2 linked regions of the Nothobranchius furzeri genome follow. The protein of the gene in region 1 interacts with the protein of each later gene in a biochemical or structural test. Links are inferred from orthologs where the notes say so. Each region holds a gene or a part of one and is shown on either strand. Other genes may lie near its edges.

Region 1 (3,650 bases):
ACAACCAGAAAAGTGCAGATGTTTTTAATTAAAACTCATTTAAGAGCAGAGTCTATATTATCTATTTTTGTTATTCACATTTGACTTTGACATTAGTTTGTTTACCAGCTTGAGTTTTCAGTCTCCGTGTGTCTTAATCATCTGCCCAATGTGTCCCTCAAAGTGCAATATTCAATTCCACCTGTAGGTGGCAGCAACACAACACTGATATTGAACTAAATACCACATTTTGAACAAATAATCAGGTATAAATTCAACTCTATCTAACAGTGTGTGTGTGTGTGTGTGTGTGTGTGTGTGTGTGTGTGTGTGTGTGTGTGTGTGTGTGAATGAGGGAGTGCGAGAGAGAGAGGGCAGGAAAAAAAAAGAGCCAGCATCTTCTATCATGCTAGCTATTTCCTGTAGCAGCCAGCGACCCACAGACAATTTCAGATACACTTTTTGCTTAAAAATACTCCACTTCTCCCTAGCAACCAAATGTGACTGGCTGTTTAGCTGCAGCTCAGGAGTGATATTTGTGACTCTATTGGGTGAAATTCACACAACTAAGCAAAACTGAAACATTGATAGTAAATGATTTTTGTTAATTTTTTAAATAGTTTTTCCTGCCACATCAGCGAGGGCGACGTCCCAGCGCCCTCTATGGACAAGCCATCCTGGTCATAGAACACAATGAATTTAATTATTTTTCAGGTTATTTGCTCAGTCTTCTGACCGACAAGCTCATACGGACGAGTGATGGCGAGTGCTGACGCCACTAATTACTACGACTGAATACTACATGTTGTCCCAGAGCAACAGAGACAACCAAATCTTCTTCTAGTAGCTCATTGATTGTGAATGTTTGTCTAATTCTTGATATAAAATTAGTACTTTTCTTTTTTGTTGATTTAAAAGACTCCCAATCACATTTCAAACACAAATAAAATAGTAAAATTTCCAGCCATGAAGCAACAGACACAATCAATGCAAACACCGTCATCAGTCATGACTGGGGTTACATTCACAAAAGACACCTGGCTTGTTGCCTTCACTGCCTCTCCTACCCAGCAGCGGGCTCGGACGTATGCCAACATCTTGAGGAGGGAAAAAGATGTTTTTCAAAATAAAAGCACAACAGAAAACATAAGGAAAAAAAGTGAAAACAAGCAGGCATGTTGATGATGTCAAGGACATTACCACAATTTTTCGATTTGAAATAAAAACTAAATATTTGTAGACCATCTAGAAACTTCTACAGATGCAACGTAGATGGATGAAGTTCACCGTTCAACAGCTTTCACGTTACCTGCAGAGTCCTTTCTGACTGGCTGAGGACTCAGGCCTCCTTGAAGAATTTGGCAAAGCAGTGGAATGAAAGCCAAAAGTTACCACCTGCCTTAAAGATCTCGGCGTCCATTCATGCTCCTGATTCTTTTGGGACTGGAATCATTTTGAACAGTCAAGACAAATGTAGTTTACCTGAGGGTGGTGGTGGGCGTTGGGGCGGAGCTGGTCTGGCCGGTGGGGCGTTTGGGCGGGGAGGAGGAGCCCGTTTTGGCTCCAGGCCTGGACCTGTCGGAGCACCGGGCTGGAAGTCAACAGGAGGCCCTGGATGAAGATAAAATGCAGAAGAGCAATGTATTCATACAACTGGCCTTTTAACAATCTGTCTCCGAAAGAAAATACTTTTATTACGCATTAGGGGCTGCATGACTTAATTTTATTTAAAGTTGAATGAAAATCGAGTCGACTTTGACTAGTCGTTGATGACGTCATACACCTGAAGCGGCGCGCGGGGTCAGTTGGTTTGCTGGAGTTTATGACAACCAAAATTGCGGCCACATTTTCAAAGTTAAACACATCTCTTTTAACAGCGGTAGCCTCTGCATCTTTACTGTTCCCCTGCTTGAGCCCCCCCCCCTGCACAGTGCACCTGCAGCCTCTCGGAGTTCCTGCTGCTCTAAACATTAAAATAATTATTTAATTTTCTGTTCCTCACTTCTGATTACCTTCAGTGGTGTCTGTTTGTTGCAACCACCAGGTACAAAAACTAACTTGTTTTTATTTGACTATTTTTCTGTCCTGCCTGTTTATTATCTTCCTGCATCTCCTCTCAATCCTAAAGAAAAACTGCTACCTGGGTTCATATATATTCACCTCATGAGTTACCTTTGAACTGCAGTTATAAAAGCTCTACCGACCGCAAAAACAGCGGAGTGCTCGCCGGCCGCATCAGTGAGGTGCGTCACCGGAGGACAAAACAGGTGATGCGCCCCGATCCACAGCAGTGAAAAGCATCAGGCACAAATAAAAGACCGAAGACATAAAAGGAAATGAGCCGACATGAACGATCGCGTGTTAAATTAGTTTTTGAGGTGGCAACACCTGATTTGATAATGTTACTGTGGCCGTGCTCAGGATGCAGATGTCTGGAGCGCGTCATCGATCAGAGCTTTGCATGTGCAAGCTGGTTAAGGTTAGGATGGGGGTGAGGGGAAGGTTAAATTGCAAGAGGGTAAACGTCACAATTTGGTTAACTGTCCGTTTTACCACGGGTGTCAGTACCGACGCTCTGGCACAGTGCGTTGCCTCCCGACGCGCAGGAGCTTGTCACCTGCTGTCTTTCCGATGACTGCATCTTGTCGGTCATTATCACGTGACAGCGACTAGTCGATGACAGGCATAAAAAGTCACTACAGAGCAGTGAAGTCGACTAGTTCATACAACCCCTATTACGCATTAAAATATAGAACCATGCAGATTTGCTGCCTCTACATTAGATCAGAAGCTTTTTTCTTTTTACTAAAACATCTCACAAGTCCATCCCATCCAACATTTGTCTACTGTAGAAAAGTCAAAGTTAAATTTGACCAAAGAAAATATTAAGTTAACACTGCAAACCAACCCATCTGTAAGGGAAACACTTTACTAAGAAACCACACTTGCTAACACCCAACAGAGAACGCACCGCTACGCTCCGTTTTACCTGGAGGTTCCTCGCTCTGAGTGGACACACTTAAAGCGGCTTCCGCAAATTCCAAACACAACAGAATCAAAGTTATATTCCAGCAGGTGGAGACCACAACATGAAGATGTGATTTGGTTGTACTTTGTAATTAACCTTGTGACGGTCGAGTGGGTTGTGCACGAGTGGGTCTGCTGGGAGCAGAGGGCTCTCCCTGGGTAGGGGAGGGGCAAGGACTGCTGCGTGGAGACGGAAGAGGGGAGGATCCGGGAGCAGAGCCGGTTCCAGGCAGCAGGTGCTGAGGAAGGATGTCTTCCACCTCCTCGTCGACCTCACCTGGAGGAGAACACAGGTAGGGGACAATCCAGGTTTTGGAAAATGTCTTCCATGATTCTCCACATAGCTCAGTGACGACTTCTCACCTTCCATCTCAAAATCGTCATCACCCACGTACACATCCTCAGCGAGCAGCGTGGAGCTACTCGACGTGGGAATGCTTCCGCAGATCCTTTCTACACTCATCTCCTCCTCCAGACTCCTGATCCAGCCTGGACTCCTCAAGCGGACGTCTATCATCTTGTCCAGGACCTGCAAAATACATCCGATCAGAAAAGAAGGAAGACATTATTTGAGAAAGGTTGAATTACGACTGTCTTAAACAACCCTGCTGTTGCTTGCACCGGCTTTGCAGACGACGACGTCA
Region 2 (3,650 bases), on another chromosome or scaffold:
TAACATTTAATGTCATGATCATGCCCTGACCTCTGTGTTTTCCTGTCTCCCTGCAGCAGCAGTCATCTAGCTGATTAATTCCACCTGTGCTGCTCCCTATTTAAGCACCTGGCTCCTGCTGCTCAGTGCGAGATCGTCTGCTGTCCTGCCAGTCCTTCGAGAGTTTGAACCTGCCTCCCTGTTCTTTACTGACCTCTGCCTGCCTAACCAAGGAACCCGTCTATTGCCTCAGCTCCAGCCTGAATCTGAGCACTCACCTTCATCAGCATTCCTCACCGCTGCTGTTTTCAGAAGGTCAGTCACTCTTCAGATGAAGACATCTGAATTATCTCCCTCGCTGACTGTTTTCTGTGTCCCGGGCCACGCCACCCGGAACCGACTCCTGCTGGTCCCGCTCACTTGAACAAGTCCTTTAATAAAATCTTTAAATCTTTCTCTGTGTTTGGCTGTTGTTGGATCCGGCTGATCGTCACTAGGTCTGACCGTGACATTTAAATCTAAATATTTAATTTTAATACATGAAACCTTTTTAAATTTTTGTAAATATTATGTACTTGTTTGACTTTTTAGTATAAATTAGGATTTCATGTGTTATGTTGGATATGAGGGAATGTATTTTCCCGCCACAGCTGCGTGTCTAACCAGTTCTTCAAGGACTGGGTCACTTACATCGCTCTCCAGCAGGTTGAACATGCTCTGCTCGGCTATCTCTTTGCTCTCGTCGAACTTCTCTAGCGCCTGTTTGATCTCCTCGTCCTGGACTTTCCCTTGACGCTTCTTCTTGTAGTCGAAGTCCAAACGACGGCCCTCCATCTTCTTCAGATGATGCTGCGAGGCGAGAGGAAACCAGTAACCATCTGATCCGGCTGACAGATCGGACCATCCACCGGGTCTGAATAGTTTATGCACCTGTATCTCCTTCAAGTCCTTGTCATGGAGGTTCTGCAGAGGGTCGATGAAGTTCTGTTTGACCTCCATGTCCAGAGCATCCTTCACCTCCCCGAGCTCCTTCATGGCCTCACCGGCGTCTATCAGCGCCGTTCCTGGAATCACGAGGAGAGAATCTGAGTTACTGTTAGAGTTCTTCTGGTTCTGGGTGGAAGATCTCTGGTCCTGGAACAGATGTTCTCTATTGTTGACTTACGGTCTCTTGAGTCATAATACAACACTAGACTGGAGGCGGAGTCGAGGCCAACAGCCAGTAAAAACTACATCTCCATGTCGGGACTCACCGAAACAGGACTCTTCTCCCAGCTCTCGTCCAAACTTCAGCATGGCGTCCCCCAGGATGGTCTCGGCCTGCGGGTACCCGGGCCCCTTCTCCTGGCCACGGATCTTGGACATAGTGTTGATCATGCTCAGCTTGGCTCTGGACGCTGGGAGGAGGGATCAGAGCGGTGAGTGGAGGTCACAGGAAGCTGCTGAGGGCAGCTTGGCATGCTTCTTACCTGGGTTGGGCTGAAGGTACTCTGTGGTTTTGGTCATGATGTCCAGAACCGCTCTGCTGGTGACGTCCACCTTCTGCGGAGGACACGTTTGGTAGAAACATCCCCGTTTACCCCCCGCTGTTCACAGGTTAAACGTAAACATCTCACCAGCTGTCGGGAGTTTTAAATAAAACCGCTGGATTTATCTGGACCGTGTGCAGAGTTAGAGGAGCCATTTCATGTTGGATCCCGTCATCCACTGCTGCTTCACCGCTAAATGATGTTAAAAACAAACGGTAGCTGAAACCAAACACCAAAATTAATAGGATGTTTTACATCTCATCTGTAAAACCGCTCCTTTAATGTTAGATTTTTAAAAGCACCGTTTAACCTAAATAAAAACCTGTTCAAGTTTTACTTCAGTAATAACAAGAACATGAATATTTCTATGAATTATTATAATTAATGATCAAATGTGTAGTTACTGTTATCTCCGTTAGGAATTTCCTCCTGCAGCTTTAAAAAAACTCCCAAATCCACTCTTAAATTTTGCGACGTGAAACCATTTTAGTACAAACACTTGTTTTCTCTCTAAACCAGGAAGTGACGAGTCTTTTTACCTCCTCATGTGGTGAAAGATCAAACACATGCACACCCACCTGATCCTTCTGCTGCTCACAGTTTAGGCACCTTTCAGTTGATTTTGGTTGCCATGGGGACCCTAATGGGCCACTGACAGTAGCTTTAACACTTCTGCTCACTTCTTCCACTGCCCCTATGCTTCAGGTCACATTTAAACAAAGCTAATTACCTTTTCCATTTCTTTGAAGTCATCGTCGAGTTTGGTTCCTTCCGCTCCTCCAACCTTCTCGCTGACTTTCTGCAGAGAGAAACCCACGTACACACAGAAGGAACGAGGGTTAAAACTGTCCCGTTTGACTCTTTAGGTCTATAAAATACCCATCTGTTTGCATTCGGGGCGATGATGGAGAGAAACCACAGTGCTGCTGGGAGATGAAAGTGTGTCGAATCCTCTACAGAACTCGGGTGTGAGATCAAACCCACGGGTTCATACGGGTGTAGTTAATAGATCATAATAAGGTACAGAGGGTAACAAACAGGCTAAATAATAGACTCAAGCTCACTAAGACTTCATTAAAATTATTTAATTCAACAGGTTAAAATAAATAAAGGAATGATAATTAGATGACAAGTAAAAATCTAGAAATCATGGTGGCGCAGTGGTTAGCATTGTTGCCTCGCAGCACGGAGGTTGCAGGTTCGAAACTCAGCTGTGGCCTTTCTGCGTGGAGTTGCGTGTTCTTCCCATGCATGCGTGGGTTTCCCCCGGGTTTCCCCCACAGATCACAACACGCCCTATAGGTTATAAATTGTAAGTCGCTTTGGATAAAAGCGTCTGCTAAATGAATAAACAAAATAAACAAATAAAAAATCAATCCGAGTCAGAAAACAAGAATAAAAGTATTAAAACAACAAGTTAAAGCTTTGAACACGTAAAATGTTCAAGAGCAGGTGGTTTCTGATCTTGTTTCCACACACAAACGGTCTAACTTGTGTTTGTTGCACAAAAGCCACGAGTGACTTTTCTTTAATGTTTTCACTGGGTGAATTCTCGTTTTCCCCGTGTTCGTGTCGAATAAAAGCCGCTCTTGCTTTTAGGAATGAATGACTTTTTTTTTAAACGGTTCTTTTTTCACCCAGATCCACATTCAGAAAAGAGTCAAAATTAAAAACACAAACTAACGATCTGATAAAAAAGCACCCATTTTTATGTAAACAGCAGAAATAAAACTTCTAACTTGAAACCAGTGTTAAAATCTTTTTTCATTTAGTTTCAGTCTTTTGACTAAAATTCTTATTAATTAAACGATGTTTCTCTGCGGTCATTACAACATTACTAATTTACACAGAAACACCGTTAAAATATGTCAAACACATCAACATCCTTTAGAAACGACAAATGAAAAGATGATGCTGGTTTTCCTGAGTGAAGCTCCTGCATTGAACTGGTTCCTCGTAATTTCTACTCAAGAGTTCATGAAACCTGTAATAAACACAATAAACATCATGTGTTCAGCTTGGCTGACTGCAGGTTTATTAGTTTTAAGTTCCGATTCTCCTCGGAAATAATTATTTCTGCTTAGCTGGCCACAAAGGGAGCAGCAAGTGCTGATCAGGGATGCTGCTCCATCTCTAATAGCC

The links. The genes of interacting proteins can lie anywhere in the genome.
Region 2: the proteins of synj1 (region 1) and endophilin-A1 form a complex in vitro, tested with the Homo sapiens proteins (2 studies listed by BioGRID and IntAct, with this or other methods). The link is inferred for Nothobranchius furzeri from reciprocal best matches to the Homo sapiens genes SYNJ1 and SH3GL2.

The regions. Positions count from the first base shown.
Region 1 is NC_091750.1:63,449,571-63,453,220, reverse strand, and holds part of synj1 (synaptojanin-1), read right to left. Parts: intron 3,536-3,650; coding exon 3,370-3,535; intron 3,284-3,369; coding exon 3,104-3,283; intron 3,008-3,103; coding exon 2,969-3,007; intron 1,591-2,968; coding exon 1,462-1,590; intron 1,328-1,461; coding exon 1,289-1,327; intron 1,077-1,288; coding exon 1,017-1,076; intron 1-1,016. UniProt on the Homo sapiens protein: Phosphatase that acts on various phosphoinositides, including phosphatidylinositol 4-phosphate, phosphatidylinositol (4,5)-bisphosphate and phosphatidylinositol (3,4,5)-trisphosphate. Has a role in clathrin-mediated endocytosis.
Region 2 is NC_091742.1:89,729,625-89,733,274, forward strand, and holds part of endophilin-A1, read right to left. Parts: intron 2,308-3,650; coding exon 2,239-2,307; intron 1,728-2,238; exon of another isoform or gene 1,596-1,727; intron 1,522-1,595; coding exon 1,449-1,521; intron 1,377-1,448; coding exon 1,233-1,376; intron 1,044-1,232; coding exon 910-1,043; intron 829-909; coding exon 670-828; intron 1-669. UniProt on the Homo sapiens protein: Implicated in synaptic vesicle endocytosis. May recruit other proteins to membranes with high curvature. Required for BDNF-dependent dendrite outgrowth.